4 linked regions of the Pelodiscus sinensis genome follow. The protein of the gene in region 2 interacts with the protein of the main gene of each other region in a pairwise test. Links are inferred from orthologs where the notes say so. Each region holds a gene or a part of one and is shown on either strand. Other genes may lie near its edges. The genes, in order: keratin, type I cytoskeletal 19; AIRIM; VPS52; ZBED1.

Region 1 (7,351 bases), on a different chromosome or scaffold from region 2:
TTAAATCCCGACTGCATTTGCATTTCCAGAAAAGGGGTCCAGTGTAGACACAGCCCTGGAGTTTCCATACTTCAGAATTCGGAGTGAGTCCTGTATTACACTATGGACAACCACACAATGAGATTGATTTACTTATTTTTTTTCCTATACCTCATCTGACAAATTTACTATAAAAAACACCTTATAAGGGGTTGGGAAGGAATTTCCCTCAGGTCAGACTGGCCTTATTAGGGCCCCAGTAGCAGCTGGGAAGCCACCAACAAATTCCCCATGGCTAAAACTGTGGCATGAGGCCCATGTTAGCTGGTGGCCCCATTGGGGGCTGAGATGGGCTGGGGCATCCGACCAGGAGGAAGGGTGCAGGAGCTGGTGGTGACCTTTGGGAATCTCACCTTTCTCTGAAATATGCGGATGCGGGTCACTTGCAAGAATTATCTGGATATATCTCACTTTCTCATTTCCCTGCCATTGCAGGACATTAAGCATTGGTCCCTCCAGTTCTCCGCTTGTAAAATATAATAATCTAGTCTCCTGTTGGCTGTAATACTTAGCTCTAATTTTTATTTTTGTTTACTGTGTGCATTTTGGGTAGTGTTGTGGCACATGATTTACAGAATGTCCGAGTAGGTGATCTGGTAGTCTCATGTGGCCTGGGAAAGCAGGAGCTGCCTACTTTCATGAGCTGGAAATAAACAGCAAGAGCACAAGAGATTTCAGATTAGATAATTTAATCCCAGTGCTTCTTTTTAGGAGATTGGAATCAGTGCATTGTGCGGTGAGATAAGCCCAGGGGAAAGGAAACTGCATGGATTGGGTCATGAACTCTATGCTAAAATTGGAAAAATAAACTTTAGGTTTTCCCCATGAGATAAAGTGTTTACACAGATCAATCAGCCATCATGTATATCTTCTAGGGCGTGAACTACTCTGAATCAGTTACTGTTCACTAAAGAGTTTGCTAAGGCATAATAAATCCTATAGTTATATGATTTGTAGGCACTTAATTTAGTTAATGTCTCCTGTTTCTTTTTTAAGTACATTTTTAAATACTTCTTCAAAGTTCAAGCTCAGGAGGCAAAATAAAAAGGGCCAGAAAAATCTGTGTTGTGTTAAAATTCTGAAGTGCTCCAGTTCACATGTGCAAACCCCTCTATTTGGTCCGTTCTTATTTTAACTGTAAAGAGATGAGTTCTCTTCTCCGATAACTGTTAAAGCAGTGCGCGCACTGGCTGTCCAGAAGCTTAAACAAAAGCGTATGATTGGTAGGTGACTGCAGAGATAAACAGTTATCCACGGTAGTTTTACAAAATTTAAACTAGTGGTCACCAACCAGTAGGTCGGGAGCTATTGTTCGATCTTGGAGCCTCTGACAGGTGATCCTGACTGGTTTGACCAACAGGCTATTAAGTGCCGGCACTTCACCTGCCCCTTCCTGAACTGCTGCACATCTCCTGCCCTTTGCCTTGGAGCTGACCCGCCACCCCCACCCCAGGCCTCCTGCTTTATTTGCAGGGCACGGGAGGGAGGGAAAGGGTGCTGATGTCAAGGTACCTTCTCTCCCATTTGGTATCCTATCTCCACAGAGCAGAGAGGGGGCACAACAGGACTTGGGATGGAGTTTGCTGGCTGCATTTTGGGAGAGGTGCAGGGCTAGGACAGGGTGAGCCTGCCTTACCTGAGGTCAGCAGTGCCCAGCTGGAGCCCACATCCCAAACTCCTACCCCAGTCATGAACCCCCTCCTTCACCCTAACCCCTGCCCCAGCCCTGAGCACCCCTGCAGCCAGACATCCTCCCAGAGCCTGCATCTAGAACCCCCTTCTACTTCCCAACTGCTTGCCACAAACCCCTCTCACACACCAAATCCCTTAATCCTCTCACACACCAAATCCCTTAATCCAAGACCAGAGCCTGCACCCCAACCCTCTGCCCCAGCCTGATGAAAGTGAGAGGATGGGGGAAGGAGGGAGGACAGAGTGAGCAGGGGCGGGGCCTCGGAGAAGGGGCACAAAGGAGGCAGGGTAAGGGTATTTGGGTTTGAGGTAGATCTTGAATTGCACTTCAATTCAGAAAGTGATCTTGTGCTTAAAAAGGTTGGAGACCCCTGATTTAAACAGAAGTGTAACACAGCCATTTAGCTAACAATTTTAATAGGAGATACATTTCATACTGAACATTGCCATTGTCCATCTTTTTTGAATCACTTCCTACCCACATCACTTTTCTACTCTTCCATAATCCACCATTCCTTTTGGCTAAATATCTACTGGGGCTTTTCTTTTCATTTCTTATTACATTTCAGAAATGCAATGGAGGCCAAATATGTCTTTCATAGTTACACTATAAAACAGTTATTATCTGCAAATAATTTTCTTTCAGCTGTTAAAAGCAGTCACACTATATGTGTGTTGTTTTAACAAATATTTTGGACTACCCTTAGATGCTTCTTAACAAACTTTAACACCAACCTTGTCTCGAAGATCTTCAATAGTTTTGTAATATAAGCTGTAGTCATGGGCTGGCCCTGGTCCTTGTTTCTGGTACCAGTCTCGGATTTTAATTTCTAGGTCAGAATTTGCCTCCTCCAGAGCACGTACTTTGTCGAGGTAGGATGCCAGACGGTCATTCAGGTTCTGCATAGTTGTCTTTTCGTTTCCAGAAAGGAGGCCATCGCCACCACCAAAGCCACCACTAAAGCTACTGTATGACCCCCCATCATATCCAGCACCCAAGCCACCTCCGAACCCAGAAGAGACAAATCGAGCAGTAGAGACAGAGATATCCCTGCCACCAGATCCCCCATGGACACTCGGAGTCCCGAAGAAACCAACAGCTCGTCTGGCTGAGGGACCACTAAAATTACCTAAGCCCGAAGAGGTTATTTGCTTCAAGCTGTAAGTGGACATGCTGAGTAAATATCAAGAATCCTACTCTAAGCACAATTCACACAGTTTGTACTCTGGAGGTAGGAGTGAAAGACTCTCACTCCGACCCTGCGTCTTTTATGCTTGTGACAATGGGAGTTGTCCATAGAACATGATATGTAAGCACTGTGGAATTCATCAGCCCTAAGCTTTTTGCCAGCATTGAAATTCTTCTTATTGGTCAGTTGACATGAAGTGGGCTGTGTCTCTTATCCAAATACTTTCACACATACCAGATTTCTTTTTTTCCCTCCCCTCTCTTCCTCTTCAGACAAAAGGTGTGTGTCTTTCGGCTCAAAGAGACTTTTGTGACTCTACAGTGATAGTTTACTTCTACGGAAACAAAAGACCTTTAAGCACACACTCTTCAGCAAGGTACAATGCCTCCTTTGTGGCACTTTTGTGAAGACTCCCACAAGGTAACTGAAGGTGTACAATGAACAGTAATGCACTTAGTGGCTGTTAGGCTGCTCATAGAACCTTGTATAAAGGGAGCCCAGATGACAAACTGCACTGCAAGGAGTGAGCTTTGGAAAAATAGATTCCCACACTTACCCGCCTTTTTTGTTACTTCTCCTGTAAATTCCGTCTTTGGATAAAAAAAAACGTTTGAAGCACAAGCTCTTTGCTCTCAGTTCCTTCTGGGAGGACAACTGGACAAAGGGTTTGATTGTGGAAATGGCTGACATGAAAATATCTGTTTCTTTTCTAAATATGGCAAGTCTCTTTCAGTGGCCACGGTTTGATTTATTTTCCTAGCCTTAATTCATAGAATTACAGGACTGGAAGGAGCCTCAAGAGGTTAGTAGTCTGTTCCCAGCACTCATGGCACAATTAAATATTACCCTAGCCTAGATCATCCCTGACAGCAGTTTGTCTAACCTGCTCTTTAAAATGAGGGGAGAGGGAGAGCTCAGTGGTTTATGCATTAGTCTGCTAAAGCAAGAGTTGTGCGTTCTAATCCTCAAGGGGCCCTTTAGGGACCTGGGGAAACCTGTCAGGGATGGTACTTGGTCCTCCTGTGAGGGCAGGGGGCTGGACTCAATGACCTCTCAAGGTTCCTTCCAGCTCTATGAGCAAAGTATATCTCCAATGATGGAGATTCCACATCCTTCCTTGGCAATTTATTCTAGGGCTTCGCCACCCTGACAGGGAGCTCTTCCTATTATTTTTCAGATAATCCATGGGTTCCCAAACTGGGGGGCATGTCCCCCCTGAGGGGACATGATGAAATTCCAGGGGGGGGTGGGCATGAGGCAAACCAGCTCTCCCTCCCACAAAAAAAATGTTGCTGCTATTTTTGTTTTTCAGCCTGTCAGTTCTCTCTTTTTTTTTAGCTTAACCAGTTTTGCTGCTATTGGGGGGGGGGGGGGCATGATGGTTTCTCAAAAATCAAAAAGGGGGCGTGATGTCAAAACGTTTGGGAACCACTGCTTTAAACCGTCACTGTCTGAGCATTTCTTGTGTGAGCCGATCAATTGATCATAAACTCATGTGTCACTTTGCAAAGGGCAAAACTGGCAGGAGAACAGCAGCAGGTGGAGCAGTATCCTTTGACATTAATGAAATCGGTATTTCTAAAATGTGCGAAAATCCTTTATTATCCAAGAATTGGACAGAAAAGTCTTGCTGTTGGTGCTTCTAGCATATCTACAGGCCTCCCTATCAGCTGGGATTTTGCTTCTTTTTCTTCTGTTGCTTCCCCTCAGCCCCATCCAGAAAATGTTACTTAGAGAATGACAGGAGCAAGTGCACTAGCGTTTTGCATTGCTGTGGATCAAGGCCTCAACCGTGATCAGTCCCTACTGGGAACTACCTGGATCAGGGCCACAACCCTCTTCCCAGCCTTTCCTGCCCCAGCACTCAGCTCCTGCCCCTCCCTCCCAGCACTTTCTGCCTGCCTTGGATTGAGTGGCATGCAGGAGGCACTTGGGAGGAAGGGGGAAAGTGTGGGCAGGAAGAGGTGAAGGAGGTCTGAGAAGAGACAGGCAGGTGTGGGAGGGTGGAATTGTTGGGGTGAGGGTGGGGCCTGCAGTGGAGCAGGTGTTGAACACCCCAAGGCAACTTAGAAAGATGTCCCCTGTGCACTTTGGGTACAATCCGTACAATACAAAAATAAGAACACGAGAGAGAAACCAAACAAAATACCCACTCCAACTCAGTGCCTGTGGATGATTCTCACAGACATAGTGAAACGCAGCAGGTGTTTAAAAGTGTGCAGCAAAATTATACACTGCTTGTCCAGTTTAATAGTACCGGCAGTTCTGCACGCTATTTCTTCGCCAAGTTTCATTGGGACTCAGATTCGAGAGGACAGAAATTTGAATGAACAGATCTATAGATTGTAGCTAAAGCTACAGTCTAATTCAACAAAGGCTTGTATGCTAGCTGGGCTTGTTTTCTTCCTTCTTGCTTGTTTTTATAAGTCTTTTTCAAACATGTCACAAGATCAATCACTGGCATTGTTGTTTTGAAGGCTTGTGATTTACGCTTATATTTAAAAAAACCGAAAAAACAAGGAGTCCTGTGGCACCTTAGAGACTAACAGATTTATTAGAGTATAAGCTTTCATGGGTAAATTTCACTTCATCAGATGAAATAAGGTAGAAGTTACAGAAGCAGGAGTATATATAAGGAAAAAGTTACTTGTGTTAACAAAGCTTATCAAGTCAGGGAGAAGTGGGTCATTCACAGCATTTGGTGTGGAGATGTGAATATCCAGATGGGGAAATTGCTTTTGTAATACCTTAACCAGTTTTACTATTTCTATTTCGTAACGGATCTAAGCCATTGTTAGGACTCCTTTTGTTCATAATATACATTAAAAACTTCGTATTGGTCCTGGGTCTATCAAACATGGATATTTCCTTAATGTCTTTAGCTTCACTCATCAATTTTCTATACTTCATACCTTCTAGTTTATATTGATTGCTATTTTCCCTTTTTCCATTTGCTATACAGTGGAAGCTTTGTTATCCAGCACTCTGTTAACCAGAAAACTTCGTTAACCGGCATTGCTCCCAGTCACAATACTGTCACATCTTCAGGCGCACAGGCATGGCTTGGTTTACCATGACTGGCTTAACAATTTTTTACGTAAGAAGTACTAATCATCTTTAACTCAAAATAGAAATGTGAGATCATCTGCCTCCCACTACAAAACTACCAATATTAAACACTTGAGTTTTACTATTATTGTCCATTGGTTTTTCCTAGGTTGATGGGACCCTCAGATAACCAGAATTTTTGGATAACCAGAATGCCCTAATCCCCGAGAGTGCCGGATAACACAGATTTTACTGTATATTGCTTTTTCATTTCTAATTGCTGCTTTCATTTTGCCAGTAAGCCAATAGTGATTTAATGATGATACATAAAGAGCAAATACCTGTACATTAGATGGCATAATTACATAGAGTTGATAGTGATATGGTCACTGAGCAGTATTTCCCAAAAGTGGGTCCCAGCCCAGCTGTGGGAAACCTGTAGATGTGTTACCATATCTAGGGCTTGATTAACCTTGGCCTGGGCAAATATACACTTCTTCCAGCATGGAGGAGAAACATGGTGGGATAGGGTAAGTTGTGGTGCAAATCCATCTGGCACTTCCCTCCCAGCAGCAGCTCCAGTTCTGCATGGCTGGGCCTGGTTTTCTGCTCCGTGTGTGCCTACCTGGCTCATGTTACAGCACCAAACTTGAGTGAGTCTGTGATCCTGTGCATCATGTCACCATGCTCGGACTGAGGAGCCGTGACCAGCCCCATGGGATAGAACAGTGTTTCCCAACCAGGGTTTTGCGGAACCCTGGGGTTCCACAGACCATCGTCAGGGGTTCCGTGAGAAACCGTGGAATAAATAAATACACTTTTTTTTCTTACAATGTAAGCTGACATATATATATAACGGCTCTTGACAAATACATTTTCTTGACAATAATTTAGTAGTAATTGAATTGAGCTCCCTGCTGTCAACTTTTTCTAGCCAAGCAAACGTTTTCATAGGAAGGGGTTCCTCGGGATATGAAAAATTATTTTAGGGGTTCCTCCATGAGAAAAAGGTTGGGAATCACTGGGATAGAAGGTACCTCAGAACCTCAACTCTCATGGCCTCCTCTCCACACTGGGCCAGGATTATAGTTGTGGTACCGGAGTAGAAAGTACATATATGTAATGGTGGGTTGTAACCAAAGACAATTAGCAGTTGATGTGCTGCCTTAGTTAAAGTTGTGAATCACACCTCTAGAAGCAGCACGGTTGGATTCCTTTCTCTCAATATGGGCTACTGTGTTGAAATAGCTCTCAAAAGATTGTGGTATAAATATAGAGCCTTTAGGAAGAAACACTGGTGACAGTTTTGCCTACAAAAGATCTGAGTCCTCCTCAGCCTAGGACAGGAAAAACCTGCCCAACAGGATCCAAGTGTGTCTGAA
Region 2 (7,042 bases):
GAAACTAGTATGAAAGCAAGAGTTATCTTAAACCACAAATCTGTGGTTGTTTATGAATCCATATGGACAGGGTATTCAATTTGCCTCTTCTTATTTCCAAAGATTTTTAAGCACATGATTGTACACCTAGTTAATCCAGTGTCACACTTTACATTGGCTCATGTACCAGTGACTTTAAGATATACAAAGGAAAAACTTGTGAAGTCTTATTTTGATTTAGCACTTTCATACAAATAAATGTATCTAATATACTGACTTTAAATGCAATGTATTATAAAAGAAATAACATAATTATAGATAACAATGACAATATCAATAGTAATTATGTTTACGTATTCATTGTATGCAGGCCTGCTACAGGGTGGGGATGGGAAGAAGGGAGCAGTTGCCCCGGGAGCCAGCAATTCAAAAGGGACTGGGGCTCTAGGCCACCGCTGTCATAGCAGTGGCCAGAGTCCTGGGCCCTTTTAATCGCTGCTGGAGCACCATCTAGCACTCTCCAGGTGACTCTGAGGGCTGGCTGCCCCAGCTCTGCCCTTCTGGGAGCATGGAAGCAGTCTCTTCCCACCTTGCCCAGGAGGCTGGCAATTCTCTCGGCCCAAATAATCGGGAGGGAGGGAAACAAAGTCCACTAACTGAATAAATTTAACTCATAACTCAGTTACAGCTCAAAATTATGTTGTCAACACATATGGGAATGGATGGACCATACCAAAGTAGTCAAGCCAGTTCATCTCTCTCAGTGCTAGAGGAAGTCTGAGGTTTTCTATGTTATAAAGATTATCCAACTCCTTGAGAAGACTTCGCCCATTTGTTTGTATCTGATCAATTCTAGTTTGGACTAAACGAAAAAAAGAAAATGGTACGATTAACAAATATATAGAACAAAAATATTATTTAGGATTTACACATCAAGGCTTGAATTTATGTTTCTCTGAACATCAGCAAAAATCTATTCCCTTATGAACACGCTTTTCTGATCAAATCTATTTCATTCATCCCAAGTGAGTTAATTAAAATGCATAAAAGTATGTCTACAGTGCTTCTGCACAGACAGTCCTAATACCAATAGTAGGGAATAGTAGGGTTTTACCTTACCCATCAATGAAGGCAATCCGCTTCGAGAGGCACTAGCTAGGTTGATGGAAAAATTCCATAAAGGTAGAACAGATTGTTACCTACCACCTGTATTGCAACTAGGAATGTGAAAGGTTAATCAGTAAGCATCACCTTTAACAGATATTGCTTACCAGTTCTGGTTAACAGGTGCAGGGCTAGAGCAGTTACCCACCAAGCATGGACAGGGGAGCTGTTATAGCCCCGCAAGGGCCTGCCACGGACACGGGCACTCCGGAGCAGTCACTGTCCACAGCGGGCCCAGGCACGCTGCAGGAAGAGAGCCACTCCAGCTCAGCCCCCACTCCCCGGCTCCCATTTAATTGATTAACCAATTAAACAGGATTTTACATCCCTAACTACAACCCATAAAGGATATCATTAAACAATTACAACCCATACTTGATGGGGATATCCTGAAAGATTTCTTTTCTGAACCCTCTTCTGGCCTTTATACAATCCCCCAATCCCATCATCAGAAATAAGGCCTCCACAGACCAAGACATTAACTCAAAGCAGCACCAGACACGGCCACAACAAAGAAAAACCTGTAAGCATATTTCCAGTGCTGCAATGACACACCCCTCAAAATCCATGGCTTGTAAGCATGTCTATCACATTATGGGTGTGTCTAGACTACATGCCTCCTTCGAGGGAGGCATGTAGATTAGCCAGATCGGAAGAGGGAAATGAAGCCGCAATTAAAATAATCGCGGCTTCATTTAAATTTAAATGGCTGCCCCGATCTGCCGATCAGCTGTTTGTCGGCAGATCGGGGCAGTCTGGACGCGATGCGCCGACAAAGAAGCCTTTCTTCATCGGCACAGGTAAGCCGAGGCTTACCTGTGCCGATGAAGAAAGGCTTCTTTGTCGGCGCATCGCGTCCAGACTGCCCCGATCTGCCGACAAACAGCTGATCGGCAGATCGGGGCAGCCATTTAAATTTAAATGAAGCCGCGATTATTTTAATCGCGGCTTCATTTCCCTCTTCCGATCTGGCTAATCTACATGCCTCCCTCGAAGGAGGCATGTAGTCTAGACACACCCTATGTGATGTATCTCGCCCAATGGTAGTAAATGTGTCACAGTAACATTGAAACAGTGAAACCAGACAAACACTATGTACTTAAAATGAACTCACACCAAAACATAATAAGAGTCAAAAATACTGTTTTCCCTCCGGGCACACACTTTTCGCAGAGGAATCAGCCTATGTCTGACCTCTCTTACCTCATCCTCAAAGGTAACCTGTACAACACCTACAAAAGAAGAGCCTGGGAACTTAAATTCATAAGTTTGCTAGATACTAAAAATCATGAACTAAATAGACACACATTGGATTTACGGCTTATTACAATAATCTATAACTCACTGGAGAGGTATTAATGGCCACTTCACATTGAATGGTCCCTTGAAATGTGTGTTAATCACTTATGCTAAACAATTTGTTTCACCTAGTATTTAGCTGTGACATTGTGAGTACATTTCCCCTAACTTGAAGAACAACTTTACATAAACTTGTTTCTCACCCACAAGAATTGGCTCAATATGAGATATCTTACGTATCTTGTCTCTCTATACATCTTATTGACAACCACCCAATGGTTAATATTTGTCAGCTGCCACTGACCTCTGAAAAGTAGTTCCTATTTTAGTTTAATTCCTGATAGCCCTACAGCAACAATGCAGCACACTCTTTACAACAAGTCTCCCCCGACCACAGACGCTCAAGAAAGGGCAAGGTTTGCATGAGCATCTAGAATTAAACCATTCTTAAACTCCTCAAAGTCATCCTTCTGGATCAAAGCTCTGGCTTTTTTGCTGTATCTGTCCTGCCTGTACAACACTTCAGTTTTCTGAGGTGTTAGTCTCCAGGGTTGTCAAGACAATAACTTTCACATGCATTAAATTAACCTGGAAAACAACTCAGGGCCCTAAAGTCTTTGTAGAGAACAAGTTTTATGAATGAGTGGAATGGTTACCTTCACAGTCAAAGTCCTTTAAAAATGCAGCCAGCTTTTTCTTTTTCACATTGTTTTTGCTGGTACCATTGTTTGTTTTCTTCTTGGATGGTGCCATGGTGTCAGATAGATCTGTGTAGCAGAACGGAAACAGCCATTTGCATTCATACAAGGAGGAGACACTTGCCAGTTAGAGACAAGAGGACTCTAGTCTTTTGGGAGCTACTGCTGCTCTATCCTCATTGAAAAATCAGGGCTCCTAGGCCAACAGCAAGCTACAACGTAGAGCGACGCATTGGTGCCCCAGACAGATGAGTGGTTCCCCAATACCAGGCAGTAGCTCCACCAGAGGTGGCATGGGGCTGAAAGCTCGGCATGGGCTTGTCTGAACAACATAGGGCTCATAGACTTTAAGGTCAGAAGGGACCATTATGATCATCTAGTCTGACCCTCTGCACAGTGCAGGCCACAGAATCTCACCCACCCCTCTTAGAATAATCCTCTCACCTATATCTCAGATATTGAAGCCTTCAAATACTTGAAGGCCCCAAGATGCAGAGAATCCTCCAGCTGTGATCTGTACCCCATGCTACAGAGGAAGGCGAAAAACCTCCAGGGCCTCTGCCAATCTACCCTGGAGGAAAATTCCTTCCCGACCCCGGTTGGAGCCTCTGGGCAGAAGAAGTTAAACAGACCCACAATGCTTTTGTCCTGGAATGAGGATGCGTCAGGAACAGCCATGCCCGGCCCCAATCCGCATCACCTCTGTCTTGTAGACAAAGCCGGCTGGGAACCCCTTGCCCTGCCCCAATTTCTTACAGCGATGGCTCCTGCTCAGTAACAGACTTGCAAGTTGCCGGCCTGGCCAAAAAAAAAACCTTCGAAAACAGACTTCGGGGGAAACTATGGAGCGGGACCTTCAGATGCAAAATGGACACGATCCGACGGAGTCCCAGCAGCCCCTGGGAATGGCTGGTTCCCACCCAGGTACGTACCCCTGCCAAACGGACGCTCCCCCTGCGCGCACCCGAGGAAGCGGGCGCCCAAATAAAACCGTTGAAGGAGCCACAGGGCTCTGGGGCGCTGCAGCCTGGGAGCGAGACCCCCCCAGACGCTGACACCGGGAGGTGATTGAACTGGGGCGGGCAGGCTGGGAAGCCCTGGGGTAGGGCCATTGCTGGGGAGGAGGGAGGAACACGTGACAGAAGGGGGGGGTCTGGAGGTGTCCCCCCCCTCCCGCGCGTGCTTCCCCAACGCAGCTCGGTCTCGCCCCTCCCCCCCGCAAAGTGGACCCCGACGCCCCGCGATTCCTTCACCGCAGAGCGGGACCCCCCTCCTCAGAATTACCCCCCCATCGGGGTCCCCTCACCTCACCATCCCCCCCCCACACCAGAGGGGGACTCACCTCGCCCCGCCCCCACCCAGCCGCGCCCCACGGCGCCCCGCAGCCCCACTGACCAACTCGCTCCCAACGCGCGCGAGCCGCCGCAGCTACATTCAAACCCGGCCGCCCAATCAGGCGCGCGGGGCGGCGCGCGCGGCGCACGCGCACAGGCAACGGCCGCCCGCGGGAGGCGGGAGGGCGAACGCGCCCTACCTCTCCCAGCAGCGGAGCCGACGGGGAGACTTCCGCTTCGCCAACTGGCTGCGTCATTTCCGGCCCGTAGGGCGGAACTACACTTCCCAGCAGGCGCCGGGGGCAGGGACGTCGCTGTGGTTGCGGGGCTCAGGTAAGGGTGGGCCCTGGGGTCAGGTTGCCGCTCTCCCGGCTCCCCCCATGGAGACCCTCCGCCCCTCCCCCCGGGGCCTTGCTCCCCCTCCCCCTTTGTCCCCTCATGCAGATTCCCTGCTCCCCCCCCCCAGCCATGCTCCTCCCCCCACATGGAGACCCCCTGGGGCCCTGCTCCCCGCCCCCGTTGGCTCCCATGTAGAGACACCCCCCCCCCACTCGGGCGGGGCTCTACCCTCAAATGTGTCCACCCCATAAATAGAAGCCCCCCCCCCCCCCCCAGTTTCCTGTTTCTAAAGCAAACTCTCGTCTAGGAGCTGCCTGGTCCCCTGAGGCCTGCGCTTCTCAGTCAGTGGCGCTGGTGGGTGGGCAGGCGGGTGAGCATGGACAGAGGGGCAGGAGAACCTCTATACCTGTGTGACGTAGTGGGGGTACCTGGCTGGTTTCTATGCTGCTGGCTCTGGGGTAACCCCCACTGGCTGCCATGGGTACACGACCCAGCGAAACAGGATGAGTCACTATGCAAACCAGTGGCCAGACACCCCCCATGGAGAGGAACAAAGGAAGGGGGAGGCTGCCCTGGCTGGGGAGCAGGGCTGGAGGAGAGTGAGTTGGTGGCTGTCTGGGAGCATGGAGGAGACAGCCTAGGGAAAGGGGCTGGAGTTTAGGGGCCCAGTCTCCCCCCATCTCAAGGGGGCCTGAGGCATCCTAGCCCAGCTCTGGGACCAGATTACATCTGTGCTGTGCTGTATCCTGAAGAGGCAATAAACTTCCTCTATTTCACCGGCTGGTGCAGTATGTTTGTGCCATTTCGGGGTGCAGGAGACGGGGGACCCCCAACGCGCCGTCACAACCTGTGTGTGCTTATTGCAGGTGTCTGGGCGGTGCCTATCCTGGGCTATACTCTGGGTCTGCCTATAAGAGGATGTCCGAGAGCCCAGCCGTTCTGGTCCTCCGTCAGTCCCTGCAGAAGTGCTTCCACACCGTACAGCAGCAGCAAGAGGTTTGGCAGCAGGCGCTGACGGATTGCAAGCCTCTTCTGAGCTCCCTCAGCAATCTGGCTGAGCAGATGCAGGCCTGCCAAAAGGTCACATTTGCTCATACACCACTGCGGAGTTTCCCAGATCTGGAAGAGCAGCTGAAGTACAAACAGCGCTGTGCAGCTGAGAGCCTGCTGGAAGAACTGGGAGGCAAAGTGTAAGAGGCTGTTGTGTCAAGACCTTTAAAGTTGTGAGCATCATGAAAGCCCAGACAGATATGCTGGGAGAGCTGGAATGTCTCTGTCTGGCCTATTTGCAGAGTTCACATCTGAAGGAGAGCGGATAAGTCAAGTCAAAGGGATAAGTGTCACGCTTCTTTCTGGAAATGCTGCAGCTATTATCCTAACACACATAATAATAACACATGAAAATTATTCTCTGTCTTTCAGTTTGTTTACTTCATCTTTATGTGGTGGGCCAGAGTCTCAGCTGGTGTCAATCCATGTAGCACCTTTGAGTCCTGCTGGAGCTTTGCTGATTTACAATAGCTATGAATCTGGCCGAGTGTTAATATTCATTTTTACGCCTTGTCCTCATTTTGTGTCAGTCTTTCTTACAGAATCTGGGAAGTATGTGCATTTGTGTGGGACAAACATTTAAAAAAAATAGGTAACTGTAAAACCACAAGAATAACTGCAGGTCTCAGCCATGTGTAATACCTAATAATTTAAAGGAGTTAAAAGTATTCATTAGATTTCAAATTACAATGTCTCTAAGTTATGTAATTGGTTCATACTTTCAATAACATGCTCTTTATCCATGGTTTTCAAACTACGGGTCACACCCCAGTATTGGGTCATGGAGTGTCAGGCACTGGGTCTCATTCCTGCAGAGTGACCAGTGAGGGTTCGAAGGCAGCTATCTGCCTGTCCTGGCACCGCAAACTGCTCTGTGCACCAGCAGCAGCCAGTAATAGGCTCGGCTCCTAGTGGGAGAGGGCTCTGTGCACTTCCCCAGCCCCGAGCACTCGCTACGCACTCATTGGCTGGGATACAGCATGGTCTGGTGTTGGGAGCAGCAGGAAGCCTGCCTTAGAACTCCTGTAGCACCACTGATGGGGAGACACTCAAAGTAAGCCCCTTCTGCTCCAGCCTTGACCCCCCCCAAGCCAGAGCCCCCTTTTACACCCCAAAACTCTTATCTTCAGCCCCACCCCAGAACCCACACTATAGTCAAATTATGTTAGGGCATGGGCA
Region 3 (7,963 bases), on a different chromosome or scaffold from region 2:
TACAACTCCTAGGGGATGTGCTAGTAAGAGTTTGGAATTTAATCATTTAGAGAGAACTTGTAGGCCCAACAGTTCCAAAATCCAGACCATGGAAGGGGGGCAGGGCTGTAAGACTCAGAGGCATCAAGGTAGCATAAATTGGGTCCAATACAAAGCAGACCGATGGGAGGACATGAAAAACAAACAAACAAAAAATCCAAAGTCTGCTAGCACCTTAAAGACCAACAAAACACGTAGATGGCGGACAAGTGGACAGCCTTGGAACATTACGAAGTGCTGTTACAAACAAGACAGCCTTGAAATAGCACTGGGAGGGAGACCCCAACATACTGATGTCAGTGAAGAACTCCCAGATAAACAGATATTAAGCAGAACAGATGGTGATTAAGCACTGATGAAGCAAAACGCATAGACCTGCATGGACGGAAAGTCCTATCAAAGATGGAGCGTTTTGAACAAATCTCCGGGTGTCATGAAAATCGGAGCAGCCACCCAGACTGAGAAAAGGCCCCGATCCTCCCCCGCGCACGTAACCTGCCTGGCCAGTGAGTTAATGCGAACAAGACTGGTAACCCTAAGCAATGACAAGGTGTGGGGGCTTGTGTTTGAGGCAGAGACGGTTTCCTACTGTATTCTCAGTAAATGCAGCGTATTGCCTTCTCCCGAGAAAGATCCCCTGTGCTTCTTATAAGCATAAGAGGGGGGCTGTTTGCACAAGAATGTGGGGGGTTGTCAGAGCCCCCTCAGGCACGCTTCCAGACCTAGCACTGGGGCAGGCGCCCCTGCATGGCGGCATAGAACCCAAGCCAGAGTGATCTTTTCCCACCTCTGCGTCTCCCCACAGCCCTTCCACTCAGACCCTGACACGCCCCCCCCCATCTCTCCCTGCTGGAGTCACTGACTCCTAGCCCCCCACACAGAGCGAAGCAGCAGCTGTGAGAATAGCACTTTATTGCAGACAGGGGGGCAAATTCTACTTCTTCTTGGAGACTCCGACGGTTCTGCCCCGGCGCCCGGTCGTCTTGGTGTGCTGACCTCGCACACGCAGCCTGGAAAGAGAGGGGGTGAGATGGGACCAGACCCCAGCCTGTCCTGCCCCCCAACCACCACTCCCAGTTCCAGGCATGACTCCCCAGGCTATGGATCCGCCCCCCAGCTCCGCATCATCCCATAACCCACCCCCACAGCCCACTTGCAAAGTCTGTGCCCAGTTCCCGTCCCCTTATCCAACTCAGCAGCCTGCTCTACCGCCACCCTCTCCGTACCCCCAGAAGTGGCGCAGGCCCCGATGTGCCCGGATTTTCTTTAGCCGCTCCAGGTCCTCGCGCAGTTTGTTGTCCAGCCCATTGGCCAGAACCTGAGGGTGAGAGACGTGGGGGAGGGCAGGTGAGGAACAGCCAGACTGATCAGAGCCCAACTCCCCGCCTATGCCAGGGAGCAGCCCCGGCCGGCCAGAGCCAGGGGCCTGCAGGAGCAGCTTTGGGATAATCAACCCCTGAAGCATGATCACTGGAGAGCAGAGATGGGAGATCCCCGGCCGGTGTCAGCAGGAGCTAGTTCAGCCTGGATCATCAGCCCTGGATCGCCACTGAACTGACCCACAGCCGGGGCAGAGGGTGCCGCAAGCCAATCACGGGGACGTCTCCTCGCTCATGGACTGGGATACGCAGTGACTTGCGAGACTCCTAGCGCACCCAATGGGCTGGTGCGCCCAGCACACCCCAAGCCCCCCGCTGCCTACGGAACCCCAGAGCAGCCCCTGCGGCTGGAACAAGCCCAGCCCCCCGCTCTCACCTGGCTGTATTTCCCGTCTTTGACGTCCTTCTGCCTGTTGAGGAACCAGTCGGGGATCTTGTACTGACGGGGGTTCTGCATGATGGTGATGACACGCTCCACCTGTGGGGGGCAGAGATGGGGTCACCCCGGAGCTACCCCACGGCTCTTCACCCCACCCAGCCTCCCTATCCCATTCCCTCCCAGATAGAGCTCAACCCCAGCCCCTCCATACCACTTTCACCCCGAAATGCCAGCTTCCCTTAGAGCCCCCTCACCTCGTCCTCCGTCAGCTCCCCAGCCCTCTTGGTCAGGTCAATGTCGGCTTTCCTCAGCACCACATGGGCGTAGCGCCGGCCCACGCCCTGGAAACGGGGGAGCGAAATGTTAGCATGGGCCAAGGGCAGGGGCCCAGCATCCCCCCCAAAGCAGCTCTGTCTCAGACGCCGAACAGAGCGGAAGCCCCACCAGCATGGGAGAAGCTGCCACAAGGGGGGACAGCACAGACCCGGTTTAACCCCCCCGAACCCCCAGCCTCGCCTGCACCCCACGCAAGGAGATGGCTTTGTTCCCCACGCAGTGTGGGGATCACCCATGTCTACGGCTGCTTTTGGCCCTGGCCCCCTTGTCCGTCTCAGCCGTGCAGCACCCTGCCTGCTCCGCCATGACGGGTCAGCCCTGGACCCCCAAGCACCCTGACAGGGGCTCACAGCAGAACCCCACCTCCCCGAGCAGAGCACCCCACGGGCAGGCTGAGGCGCTCGGATACGTTCCCAGGGCAGCCGGCCGTGCTCCCCAGCGGCGGTACCCTGGCCCCCTTGTCCGTCTCAGCCGTGCAGCACCCTGCCTGCTCCGCCATGACGGGTCAGCCCTGGACCCCCAAGCACCCTGACAGGGGCTCACAGCAGAACCCCACCTCCCCGAGCAGAGCACCCCACGGGCAGGCTGAGGCGCTCGGATACGTTCCCAGGGCAGCCGGCCGTGCTCCCCAGCGGCGGTACCCTGGCCCCCCTCACCTTGATAGCGGTGATGGCGAAGGCGATTTTCCGTCGCCCATCGATGTTTGTGTTGAGCACTCGCAGGATGTGCTGGAATTTCTCAGGGATCACAAGAGACTGGGGGGGGAATAGAGGGGTCAGCACTGGAGAGCTGGGCTCGCTCTAATACCCCCCCCCCAATACGCCCCATCAACACCCCCGGCCGACCTTCCCAGTGGGGGCAGGCTGCACACAAACCCCAGACCTCCCGGTGCTACCGACAGCACCCCCCAATATGTCCTGCTGCCTGGCCCCAGGCCCGCCTCCCCAGCAACCTCCCCACTCGCCCGAACCCAGGCCCACCCAGCCTAGCCCCATGCCTCCACCTGCATGGCCCAATCCCAGACCTAATGCCCCCTCACAGCCTCACCTGCCCTAACCCAGGCCTACACAGCCCCCATACTCCCCCCTGCCTAGCCCAGCCCCAGACCTACCCCTCCATATCCCCACGAGCATAACCCGGCCCCAGACCTACCCCTCCATATCCCCACGAGCATAGCCCGGCCCCAGGCCTACCCCTCCATATCCCCACGAGCATAGCCCGGCCCCAGGCCTACCCCTCCATATCCCCACGAGCATAGCCCGGCCCCAGACCTACCCCTGATACCCCCACGTGCATGGGGACGGACAAGGGGGCCAGGCCCCAGACCTACCCCCCCATATCCCCACGAGCATAGCCCGGTCCCAGACCTACCCCCACGTACATGACCCAGCCCCAGACCTAGCCCCCCCATATCCCAACATGCATGGCCCAGCCCCATAACCACCCCTGACACCCCCACGTACATGGCCCAGCCCCAGACCTAGCCCCCCCATATCCCAACATGCATGGCCCGGCCCCAGACCTACCCCTGACACCCCCATGTGCATGGCCCAGCCCCAGACCTACCCCTGACACCCCCACGTACATGGCCCAGCCCCAGACCTAGCCCCCCCATATCCCAACATGCATGGCCCGGCCCCAGACCTACCCCTGACACCCCCACGTGCATGGCCCGGCCCCAGACCTACCCCTGACACCCCCACGTGCATGGCCCGGCCCCAGACCTACCCCTGACACCCCCACGTGCATGGCCCGGCCCCAGACCTACCCCTGACACCCCCACGTGCATGGCCCGGCCCCAGACCTACCCCCGACACCCCCACGTGCATGGCCCGGCCCCAGACCTACCCCTGACACCCCCACGTGCATGGCCCGGCCCCAGACCTACCCCCGACATCCCCACGTGCATGGCCCGGCCCCAGACCTACCCCTACCCCTGACACCCCCACGTACATGGCCCGGCCCCAGACCTACCCCTGACACCCCCACGTGCATGGCCCGGCCCCAGACCTACCCCACTCCTCTCTAAGCGGCTCCGGCAGCAGCCAGCCCCCCTGGAGCCCCATAGCCCCTCCAGCAAGCAGAACGGACAAACCTCAGCCCCCCCACCCCCCAGACGAGCCAGCAGGCACCAGGCTCTGCCCCGCTGGGCCCATCCACTGCCCCCGGCCCGGCCCCCCGGGAGTCCCCAATTCGGGCCTCCCCGCCCTTCCCGGGGCGCGCTCGCGGGGCGGATGGACCCCGACTGGCGCCCCCGCCCCGGCCCCCCCGCGGGAAATGGGGGGCGCCCCACAGAGCCCCGGCCCCACCCTCACGGACGAGCCCCCCCCCGGCCTGCCGGGGCCCCTCCCCGGGGCGGATGAACCGAGATTCCCCCAGCCCCCCCGCACTCACCATGGCGGAGACTTCGCGCTCCAGTCTCGCCCCAGCCGGAAGAGGGAGCGGAAGTGACGTGCAGCCTCTTATACAAGCTCCCGCCCACTAGAGGCAGATAAGCTTCCGGTCAGGGCAAGACAGCTTCCGGCAGAAAACCAGACTTCCGTGTCCTCCCCGTAGTCCTTCCGGTCAGCCTCACACGGAGTGCCAGTAAATTAGCCCCTTCCACGCTGTGCAACAATCAGTCCCGTCCGGGTATGAAACCTGACCCATGACACATGGTTCCTAGGGGGTTATGTCCCTCCGTTCCCCTGGGGCTGACTCCCTTTAACTCCAGGGGGGATTTTCATAAGTAATCACCCGCTTCCGTGCCCTGGGGGGGGGCTTTGCTACCCCATTTCCGGTACGACCCCGCCCCATCCGGTGCATCATGGGAGTTGTAGTTTTTCAAGGCGTGCGGCCGGAAGTGAGCCCTTGGAGACCCGGAAGCGGCGGTAGCGAAGGAAGCGTGAGGAGGGGGGGACGATGACGGCGCTGGGGCCCGACGAGGAGTTGGGGCTGCGGGCCGCCGAGATGGAAGACGAGGAGGGCTTGGTGAGGTGCCCCCCCGCCCGACTTCCGGTCCCCCGGCACCCACTTCCGGTCCATGCAAAATTGGCCCGGGGGGGAACCGCCCCCCCGGGCTCCAAACTGCTCCCCCCGCCTGCGGGCGCTTTTCTGTGAACTTTGACCCCCGACCCCGTGACCTCCAGACCTAGGTGCGCCCTGACCCCAGCATGACCCCTCCATCCCCACTCTGCTCTCCCCTCCCTGTTGTGTGACCCCTGACCTAGTAACCTCTGACCCCCCTGGTGCCCTGACCTTTGACCCCACCCCTTGCACTGGCCCCCCTCCCTGTGCTCCCCCAGCCCTGACGCGGGGACTGGCAGACTCACCCGGGGGGGGCTGCCGGCTCCCCCCCCCGTGGCCCCTGGTGAGTGCGACTGTCCCGCGCCCCCTCCCAGGCGCAGCCCACCCGGCGGTGAGCTGGGGGCCGAGGCAGCGCCAAGCCTGGCTCCTGCCGCTCCCCTGCAAGGGGCGGAGCTGCTGGCCTGGCCGGGCCCCCAACTCCCTAGAGACGGTGTGATGTACCGTGTGACCCCTAGCCCACACCCCGTAACTCGGAGCCCTGTATTGCAGCCTCTGGCCTGCGCTGTGCCTGCCCATGCCCCCGCAGTCCCCCCGGCCCCCTACGTAACAGCCTGACCTGCTCTCCCTAGGGGTGTGGCGAGGAGCAGTCGCTGCAGCTGAACTTGGGGGACCTGGACCTCACCTCTGATGAGTTCATCCTGGATGAAGTGGACAGTAAGTGCTGGGGCAGGGAGCGTACGCAGCCAATGGGGGGCAGGCAAGTGATCTGTGGAAGTGCGGGGGGGAGGCATGAGGTGGGGATCTGAGAGGGAACAGGGGAGGTTGGAAGAGCACTGAGAGGTGGGGGGGAAGCCGTGAGGTGGGGGACACCAGGAGTAGTTTGGGCCTATGAGGGGATTGGAGGAGGGTGGGGGAATGCAGGGAGGTGGGGCACTATGGGGAGGCAGGTTTTGGGGAGCACTGTTGTGGGTACTGACCCAGTCTGCCCTCCCGCAGTTCACATCCAAGCCAACCTGGAGGACTCCCTGGTTCAGGAGGCGCTGAAGACTGTAAGTCCCCCCTCCACCCCCGGGCCAGGGCCCAGCTGCCCTGCCCCAGCTGGTGACTGACCCCTCTCTCCCCAGGGCGTGGACCTGCGGCAGTACTCCAAGCAGGTGGAGCTCGAGCTGCGACACATCGAACATGCCTCCATCAAGGACTGTATCCTGCCCCCCCGCTCTCCGGGCACCGGGCAGGGAGGACCCAATGTCGGGGAAGGTCCTTGCACCAGGCAGAAAACAGGGCCTGGTTTACGTGCAGGAATGATGGAGGGCAGGGGTGTGACCTCCCGCATCGCAGTCCCCATGTGCGCGCAGCCCTCGTGTGCACATAGCCATACTTCATAACACCCTGGCGCGGGCCGGGGCGAGTCCCAGGGTCAAACCTCTCCCAGAGATTCCACATCCGCACTTCCAGCTGTACCGCTGTATTGGCTGGGGTGTCTCTCTCCGTGTCAGTGCAGAGGGGTGTCCAAGGGCAGCCCCCTCCCCAGAGCCTTCCTGCTGCCTGCACCCCCATTTCCTTAGCCGCCCGTGTGTCCTGCAGACATCAAGGAAAGCAAGAACATCACTTCCCTGCACAACCAGATCACAGCCTGTGACGCCATCCTGGAGGTGAGCCCCCCGCCCCCGGGTTCCCCCTTTCCTCTTGGGAAGCCCCGCCCCCAGGTCTCGGCCTGTGACGCCATCCTGGAGGTGAGCCCCCCTGCTCCTAGGTATCCCCCCATCCCCAGGTCTGTGATGCCATCCTGGAGGTGAGCCCCCCTGCTCCTAGGTATCCCCCCATCCCCAGGTCTGTGATGCCATTCCAGAGGTGAGCCCCCCGCCCCAGGGTCCCCCAACAACATCCTGATGCCCCCCCGACTCGCCCCAGCCCCCCCGATCACCGTCTGCAGCCTTGGCCCCTGTGCCCCCTTGCTGGGAGGAGGGGGCTGCGAGTCTGACGGCTCCGCTCCCGCCCCCAGCGCATGGAACAGATGCTGAGCTCCTTCCAGTGCGACCTGAGCAGCATCAGCTGCGAGATCCAGACGCTGCAGGAGCAGTCAGTGGCCATGAACCTGCGGCTCAAGAACCGCCAGGCTGTGCGCAGCCAGCTCAGCCAGCTGGTGGACGAGCTGGTGGTGCCGGCCACCATGCTCAGGTGGGGGCAGGGGCTGGGAGCCGGCTGCTGTGGTCAGGTGGGGCAGGAGCTGGGGTTGGTCGTGCTCAGGTGGGGGCAGGGCTGGGGGCTGGCTGCTTGGTCAGGTGGGAGGAGGGCTCCTTGAAGGGACAGGCTGGGGCCAGCTGCAGCTATTGGGGAAATGGGAGTCATGGATTGGACACCTTGGGGAAGGCCAGATGTGGGGGGTCTGGAGAGCTGGCCACAACCGTGGAGGGGGTGTCTCTGGGCAGAGCACTCAGGCTGGGGAGGTGTGACCCTGGGGTGCCCGTCTCCCTGCCCCCCTCCAGCACCATCCTGGAGGCTCCAGTGACGGAGCAGGAGTTCCTGGAGCAGCTGCACGAACTCAACAACAAGATCAACTATGTGAAGGAGCAGGCCTTCCGCGAGACCATGGCCTGCGCCGACGTGCACCACGTGCTGGACCGGCTCAAGGTCAAGGTGAGGCTGGGAGGGTCTGCGCTCACATGCATGTTGTGGGCAGCCAGGGGGAGGGGGTCACTGAGCTCTGCCCACCCTCTGGTCTGTGACCCCCCCCCCCCCCCCTTGTGCTCCCCTCCACCCTTGCAGGCTGTGACCAAGATCCGGGAGTTCGTCCTGCAGAAAATCTACTCCTTCCGCAAGCCCA
Region 4 (7,122 bases), on a different chromosome or scaffold from region 2:
TTAGCAGAAAAATAATAAAAATTCTGTTTTAGGTCAACTTGAAATTTTTTTTTTTGCAGACTTTTTTGTTCAGCCACCAACAATTATTTTGCTCAGCTCAAGTTGTTAATCCCCTTGATATCATGATTTTTCAGGTGTTTATTTTTTCTGTTTTAAATTATCATTTCATCTAATTTTCCAGCTGTAAACCATACTGATCTGTAATCCACTACATATTGAGTGGTCCCTCCCCCATTGTCCAGTCTCAGCTTCTGGAAGTCTGATGTCCTTAATCTCCATGAACATATCTAATTCGTTTTAACCCAATTATCCTTTTGGCCTTTACAACATCCTGTGGCAAAGAGTTCCATACGTTGACTATTTTATGTGAAGTACTTCCTTATGTTTGTTTCAAATGTGATGCCTATTAATTTCATTGGATGACTTTTTTGTATTATGTATAGGGGTAAATAATATTTCCTTATTCACTTTCTCAATGCCCTTCATGATTTTATAGACTTCTAACATATTCCTCCTTAGCCCTGGTCCAGTCTACAAATGTATGTTGATATAACTGTATTGCACCTTAGTGATGCAGTTATACTGACCTTACTCCTGGTGTAGACAGTGCTATACAGGCAGTCCCCGACTTACGTCGGATCCGCACTTACGAACGGGGCTTTCTCGCCCTGGAGGTCGAGGTGGCGGATTGCTACCTGCGAGCTCCAGGGCGAGAAAGCCCCGTTCGTAAGCTGCTCCGGTGCCCCTGCTCCGGTGCCCCTGGACGGTCCCCAGCAGACCACAGGCACCGGGACTGAAGTGGCAGCCGCGGCGGGTCCTGCGCCTCTGAGACTTTGCCAGAGCAAAGCCTCAGAGGCGCGGCACCCCGCTGCCGCTGCGGCTCTGCTCCCCGTGTCCCTGGTCTGCTGGGGGGGGGGGGGCGCAGCTAGTGTGCCCCCCCCCAGCAGACCAGGCTTTTGTTTTGGACCCTGGGGCAGAGCAGCTGGGGCGCTGCCGATTGGTCCTGCAGCGCCGCTCTGGGCACTACTGGACCAACCCGGCAGCACCCCAGCTGCTCTGCCCCAGGTCCTGATTCAGCCACTGCTGGTCAGTTTCAGCAGCGGCTGAATCAGGACGCCTGGGGTAGTGCAGATGGGGTGCTGCTGGGTTGGTCCAGTAGCACCGAGGAGCGGCGCTACTGGAGCAACCCAGCAGCACCCCAGCTGCTCTGCCCCAGGCGTCCCCAAGTCAGCTTCTGCTGAAACTGACCAGCGCTGACTACAGGAAGCCCCAGGCAGAGTTGCTCTGCCCTGGGCTTCCTGGAATCAGCTGCTTATCAGTTTCAGCAGCAGCTGACTTGGGGACGCCTGGGGTTCTTAAGTTGATTCTGTATGTAAGTCAGAACTGGCGGTCAGTTTCAGCAGCGGCTGAATCTGGACGCCAGTTCTGACTTACATACAGATTCAACTTAAGAACAAACCTACAGTCCCTATCTTGTACGTAACCCGGGGACTGCTTGTATTGATGGAAGGGCTTCCCCTATTGTCACAGTTACACCTTTGGGAGATGAGGTACCCACACCAAAAGGAGCAGGTAGCATCTTTACTAAGCACTGTATCTGCTCTGGTGCAGCCCTAGAAGTATAGCTAAGCCCTTAGTTGTCTCCTTTTTTAAAATCGAACCATCTCAGCCTTTTAAATCTCCATTGAGATAGAGGCTGCTCCATATCTCTAATCATTTTTGTTGACTTTCTCTGTACTTCTTTCCAGTTTCAAGATATCTTTTTGAGATGGCTAGACCAGAACTGAATGCAGTATTTAAGATGCAAGGATTTAACATTGATTTATATAATGACATTTTTTCTGTCTTATTATCTATCCCTTTCTTAATGATTCCTTACATTGTGTTATTTTTTGACGGATGCTCATGAAACAGATGTTTTCAGAGAAATAGCCATGATGACCAGAAGATCTCATTCTTGAAAGAAAAAAAACAAGAAAAGAGAGAAAAATTTATTCTTAGTTAAATATACTGGTAAAAGACTACCTCTATTGAAATTATCATCATCTTAACTCATTGTATTTCTTGATATGCAAACTGGAGATAACATTTATATTTATATAGCCACTTGAGATCTGTGCTAAGTGTTATTATTTATTAATAATTTAAGACTTCTGATTAGCTGCTTCCTTCAACTTATGACATATAAGAATGCAGGCTTTGCCATTCTGTCTCAAGTGACAATCATGTAAAATTAACTGAAGATTTAAAATCAAAAGCTGAGGATAACTTGCTGCTTACTTCTATAAAATATTGAGATATTCTGGTCACATGGCTGAAATGAAATTTAGTTGTCTGCTTTGGTAGAAACTTGTGAATAGTGATTTAAAGTTAAATGGTATTCAAATTAGAAGGCAAAATAAATTTAAAATCTGTATATTTTACTCCTACTCTGTATATTTTACTTCTACTTAGGCTGCTGCAATAAAAAAAGATAACTCAAGGGTGTCTGGTGTTCAAGATGCCACAAATTTTGCCTGAAATGATCAAAGCTTGTTTTATTAGGCAAAAGTCACCAACTTGTGTCTCAGAGCTGGAGACTAGTGGAATAACTTGGTTAACTCTTTATAATGACACAGCAGATTTGACACGTTAGTTCAGCTTAGAATAGGCTATGACCATCTATTCTACCAGGTAGATATTTACAGTAGATTCCACAGTAACAGAAACTATATATAAAAATGGCATCACTGAATTGACTAAAAGGAAGCTCCATTTCAGATACTGACAACTACTGCTAGTGAGTCACTGATGTTGCCCTGAGGCTTACATGATTTACAGAAATTCCATTAGGTGAGACTGGGAGTAGAACGGATGTTAAATTTAACAGAGCAAAAATTTAACCTCTGCTCTTTCCTCCCAAATGTTCTCTATTCTCTTTCCTCTGTCACTGCTAACACTGCTGTTGTCTCTGTAACTGAAATCTATAATGTGGGAATCATCTTTGAAGCTTCCCTGTCCTTTATCCTACAAATCCAGACTGTGTTCAGTTCTTGCCTCTTCTTTCTCCAAGATACTTCTACAATGTGACTCTTTCTGTCCACACAGTTAGACTTCTTGTCCAGATCCTCTTAATTTTCTGCCTTTATTACTATAACCTCCCTGTCTCTGGGCTCCCATACTCTGGTCCCTGGAAATCTCTAATCTCTTTAAAGTGCAGCTGCTAAAATCCGTGTGCATGGACTAGATGATCTTGGAAGTCCTTGACAATCTTGTCTGCAGGAGACTGATGTGTAAGATAATAAACTCCAACATTATAATAGATCATGATGGAACACATGGTCACAAACAGAGGCAAAAAAGAAGAGGTAGAGTGGGGAGGTGAGTGGTTAAGAAGGTGATGGGGGCAGCATTGTTCAGTTTCTCCAGGTCAAATTACAGAAGGGGCCCTTGTGGTCACTTGGTCTGACTCCCTGTGTAACACTGGTCATGAAACTTTTCCTCATATAACTCCTAGGACATGCTTTTTTAAAAAAAATCCGATCTTAATGTAAAAGTTGCCTGTGATGGATCCTTCCCCACAACCCTTAGCAATGTTGTTTGCACGGTTCATTGCCCTCGATGTCAAAGCTATCTGTCGCACATTGTATAACACAAGAGCAGCCGGCCTGGCCGCCTTCATATGGCTGTGGGGTCCCACTGGACCGAAGCTCCCTTTCGGGAGGCACCCCCAGGATCCCGTCACTTTCCAGCTGCTCGCTTCTCCAGCCTGACTCCTCAGCAAATACACAAACAGCCCTTTCGCAGCCAGCTGGCTCCTGCCTCCCTGCCAGCACCTCTCCCCGACTCGGGTGGCCCCGTCTGACCCGCGCTTCTCCGCCACTCACCCACCCACCCGCTCGGCGCCCAAGGCGCCTCTGGAGGCACCGGGCTGCGGGGCCGCTTCCCCTGCCCCCGCCCCGGCGCGCACATGCCCAGAAGCGAGCGGCGGCGCGTCCGGGCGGTGCAGCCAGTGACAGCGGCGGCGCTTTCCCTTCCGCTGGGTGTGGGCTCTGCAGCGCCGCGCCCGCCCGGCCCGGGAGCGGACACAGACACGCGAGCGCAGGGCGGCGCGCCGGGGCCCCGTCCCCTCCACTCCCCGCGCCCAGGGGCCGGAGGCAGCCATGTCGCTATTGTCTCGGGCGCTGCCCGCGCTGCGGCTCTACGGCACCGGCCTGGCCGTCAGCCTGCACCAGCTGCTGCGCCGCCTGCGCCCCGGCGGGGCCCCCGCGCCAGGTGAGAGCGCGCAGCTGGCCCGCGCCCGGCGCTGCAAGGGGGAGCGCTGCGGGCACTCAGCCCGCTCTCCCCGGCCGCCCTGCCCCGCTTCCTCCCCGCGCGGGCTGGGGGAGGGGGAAGAGGCGCGTGGCCTGACCTTGTGAGCGCCCCGGGCCACAGCTCCCTGCCGGGGCTGCTGCACCGCCGGGCCTGGGCCTGGCCGCTGCTCCCCCCCCGCAGCGCGCCCCAGCCTTGCCCCGGGCTGCTGCCGCTGGGCCCGTCCCCTTGTGACTTTGCAGGCGGTTCCTGCGCTTGCTCGTCCCCCTTCCCCAGGCGGCTGCGGCCCGAGCTCAGCAGCCGGGGGAGACACCTGCGCACGCCCCCTCGCTGCTGTGCCGGCCCCGCTTCCTTCGCTAGACCCAGACAGTCGCCGCTTTCTCCGTTGCTGGACTTGCACCGGCCGCTGCGGTAGCCCCCAGCCAGGTCCTTGCATCTCTCTCTCGCCGCTGCTGGTCCTACCATGAAAAGTAGCATCGTGGTTAAGTTACTGGGCAGACTGAGCTCTGGGTTCGGTTCCCTTCTATGCCCCAGACGCTCTGCCAGACTTGATCAGGCCTGGTTTTTGATCCGGGTGTGCCTCAGGTCACGGCCCCCCATAGGTTTTGAGAACTGATTAGTGTTTGTGATGTGCTCCAATGGCGATTCCTTCTAGGTTTATCCCCATGATAATACCTTTCACCAATACCAAGTAACTTCTGCTGCTGTACCTACATTCTGAGCTAAAAGCTGCTGCTTTGCCTGGCTCCCTTCCTCAGGCTCCATCCCACACCAAGATACTAGACTAGAGCCCTCTTGTTTCTCCTTCCCTACTTTTGAATTCTACCACTCCAGTAAATTCCTCCATCTCCATTAAACTTGCTCACCTGGCTTTATTCCTGCACTCTTCTGGCCACTTAAGTTACGCCTCCAGCATTTGACAGTGGTGAATTTCTTCACTGAATTAGACTCTCATAGACAGTTAGTCTTCTCTTTTTCCCCAGGCATTGGTGGGAGTGTTGGTGTTCATATTCTGAATTCAGAATATATATTGTCATTAATTGCCAGCATATAAGGTGACAATTCGTTGGCATTCAGTTTGCTCTGTAGAGATTTAGCTTAGCTCTTTTTCTGACAATTTTGTGTTACATTTGTAAATTATTTTTATGGTCAACTGAAAACTTAATGATGATCTGTTTCCCCACATTAGGTGTCTATGAAGGAAGCTTAGGGTTTCCAGAAATGATTTATCTGGGAATCCCCTCAGGCCAGATATCAACGCAATAGGTATCTTAAATTTAAAAACAAATTGATTTTTTTAAAAACACCTGAATTTGTTGGTGCTTCTAAGAGCTCTCTGCAGCTTGTGAAGGCCTGAAAACTATATAAATAGCAACAGAATCATGAGACTCTGTAAAATTTTGCTCTAGTTTGCTTCAGTTTACTTTCTTTCTCTGACTAGCTTCAAATGTGGCTCTTATGGAGGTGTTGGTGGTTTTAACAAGAATAATAAAAATGTAGATGTATGAATGCAGTTCAATGAGATTATTTAAAATATGAGGTCCAAATCAACAGATTATATAGTTGAGGTACTGTGGAGAAGAGAAAATAAATTTGTGATAACTATTAATTTTTGTAAAATTAATGCAAAGACAGGACATAACAGATTTCCACCTATGGATTCATTGGGTAATGTTTTTTTTCAATATTAATAATACTAATGCAAATTTGGGCTTTGCTTTCTCATTCTCAAAAACATATAGCATGCCAAAAAGAAAAAAAACAAAACAGATCTGTGCCTACAGTTTTATGTCAGCTGAGCATTCTTCTTGCATTAGTTTTTCTTGGCAGATTAAAGCTGTGTATTATGCCTCATGTGTGTAATAATGCTTTTAATATAATTTAAAACTGAACAGAAATATGACAAAGTTTGAACCAAACATTTATAATATTTTAATCTTTAATAGCATTAATAAATCAGAAAATATAAATAATTTGTTTGAAACACTGATTTAAAAACAATTTGTCAACAAGAATATTTTGTTATAGACAGTAGGCTAGTCTAGATAACATTTCAGTATGATTACAATATGATAAAAACAACACTTTAAAATATAAAAATAATTAAGTACATTTTATAACTGACATAGTTAATCTTCAGAGGGGTAATCGAGTTAGTCTGTACAGGATAAACTTAAAAAACAACAAATAGTCTGGTAGCATTTTAAAGACTAACAAAACATGAAATCATGAGCTTTCGTGGGCACAGCCCACTTCTTCAGATGACTGGAGTGTTGGATGTCCAGAGCCAAAAATAAGTGATCTGCTTTTATTGGAATACATCAATAATTGTGTGAAGAAGTTAGTAAACTAAAAATATTTTGAAATACAGAAGTTGAAAGCTTTTTCTATCCCTTGTAATCCTCAATTCTCAAAATACAATTTTTGGTAATAAAAAGATACATAAATCAAATATCAGTTGCCTTATCATGAGAGACATCACAAAAAACTTTGGGGGGAAGGAGAGAGTGGAAGAGTTGTAGTTTCACACCCAATGCTCTTGGAAAAGGACTTTTAACTTATTTGATCGCAGCTACACTGACAAACCACATCGCCAAAAATCAGCATGGCTGTGTCTAGACTGGAAAGTTTTTCCACAAAACCATCTGCTTTTGCAGAAAAACTTGCCAGCTGTCTATACTGGCTGCATGAATTTCTGGAAAAGCACTGACGATCTCATGTAAAATCATCAGTGCTTTTCCGGAAAAACTATGCTGCTCCCGTTCGGGCAAAAGTCTTTTTCCGAAAGACTTTTGCGCAAAAGGGCCAGTGTAGACAGCATAGTACTGTTTT

Evidence for each region.
Region 1: the proteins of AIRIM (region 2) and keratin, type I cytoskeletal 19 interact in binary tests that used the Homo sapiens proteins (3 or more experiments, as listed by UniProt). The two-hybrid records come from large-scale screens. The link is inferred for Pelodiscus sinensis from reciprocal best matches to the Homo sapiens genes AIRIM and KRT19.
Region 3: the proteins of AIRIM (region 2) and VPS52 interact in binary tests that used the Homo sapiens proteins (3 or more experiments, as listed by UniProt). The two-hybrid records come from large-scale screens. The link is inferred for Pelodiscus sinensis from reciprocal best matches to the Homo sapiens genes AIRIM and VPS52.
Region 4: the proteins of AIRIM (region 2) and ZBED1 interact in binary tests that used the Homo sapiens proteins (3 or more experiments, as listed by UniProt). The two-hybrid records come from large-scale screens. The link is inferred for Pelodiscus sinensis from reciprocal best matches to the Homo sapiens genes AIRIM and ZBED1.

What each region holds. Positions count from the first base shown.
Region 1 is NC_134739.1:10,238,938-10,246,288, reverse strand, and holds the start of keratin, type I cytoskeletal 19, read right to left. Parts: upstream 3,004-7,351; 5' UTR 2,905-3,003; coding exon 2,467-2,904; intron 1-2,466. UniProt on the Homo sapiens protein: Involved in the organization of myofibers. Together with KRT8, helps to link the contractile apparatus to dystrophin at the costameres of striated muscle.
Region 2 is NC_134735.1:10,126,091-10,133,132, reverse strand, and holds the start of AIRIM (AFG2-interacting ribosome maturation factor), read left to right. Parts: upstream 1-4,042; 5' UTR 4,043-4,064; intron 4,065-4,072; exon of another isoform or gene 4,073-4,200; intron 4,201-4,482; exon of another isoform or gene 4,483-4,506; intron 4,507-4,535; exon of another isoform or gene 4,536-4,577; intron 4,578-4,674; exon of another isoform or gene 4,675-4,807; intron 4,808-5,679; 5' UTR 5,680-5,731; coding exon 5,732-6,003; intron 6,004-7,042. Other genes in the region: CDCA8 (borealin), read right to left, coding at 713-841, 3,099-3,195. UniProt on the Homo sapiens protein: Part of the 55LCC heterohexameric ATPase complex which is chromatin-associated and promotes replisome proteostasis to maintain replication fork progression and genome stability.
Region 3 is NW_027465970.1:106,907-114,869, forward strand, and holds the start of VPS52 (vacuolar protein sorting-associated protein 52 homolog), read left to right. Parts: upstream 1-4,948; 5' UTR 4,949-5,034; coding exon 5,035-5,103; intron 5,104-5,768; coding exon 5,769-5,853; intron 5,854-6,135; coding exon 6,136-6,188; intron 6,189-6,263; coding exon 6,264-6,339; intron 6,340-6,723; coding exon 6,724-6,872; intron 6,873-7,141; coding exon 7,142-7,317; intron 7,318-7,625; coding exon 7,626-7,776; intron 7,777-7,905; coding exon 7,906-7,963. Other genes in the region: RPS18 (small ribosomal subunit protein uS13), read right to left, coding at 974-1,049, 1,266-1,357, 1,795-1,896, 2,052-2,138, 2,790-2,888, 4,528-4,530. UniProt on the Homo sapiens protein: Acts as a component of the GARP complex that is involved in retrograde transport from early and late endosomes to the trans-Golgi network (TGN).
Region 4 is NC_134711.1:222,622,471-222,629,592, forward strand, and holds the start of ZBED1 (E3 SUMO-protein ligase ZBED1), read left to right. Parts: upstream 1-4,116; 5' UTR 4,117-4,142; coding exon of another isoform or gene 4,143-4,254; intron 4,255-5,477; exon of another isoform or gene 5,478-5,556; intron 5,557-7,122. Other genes in the region: DHRSX (polyprenol dehydrogenase), read left to right, coding at 4,143-4,254.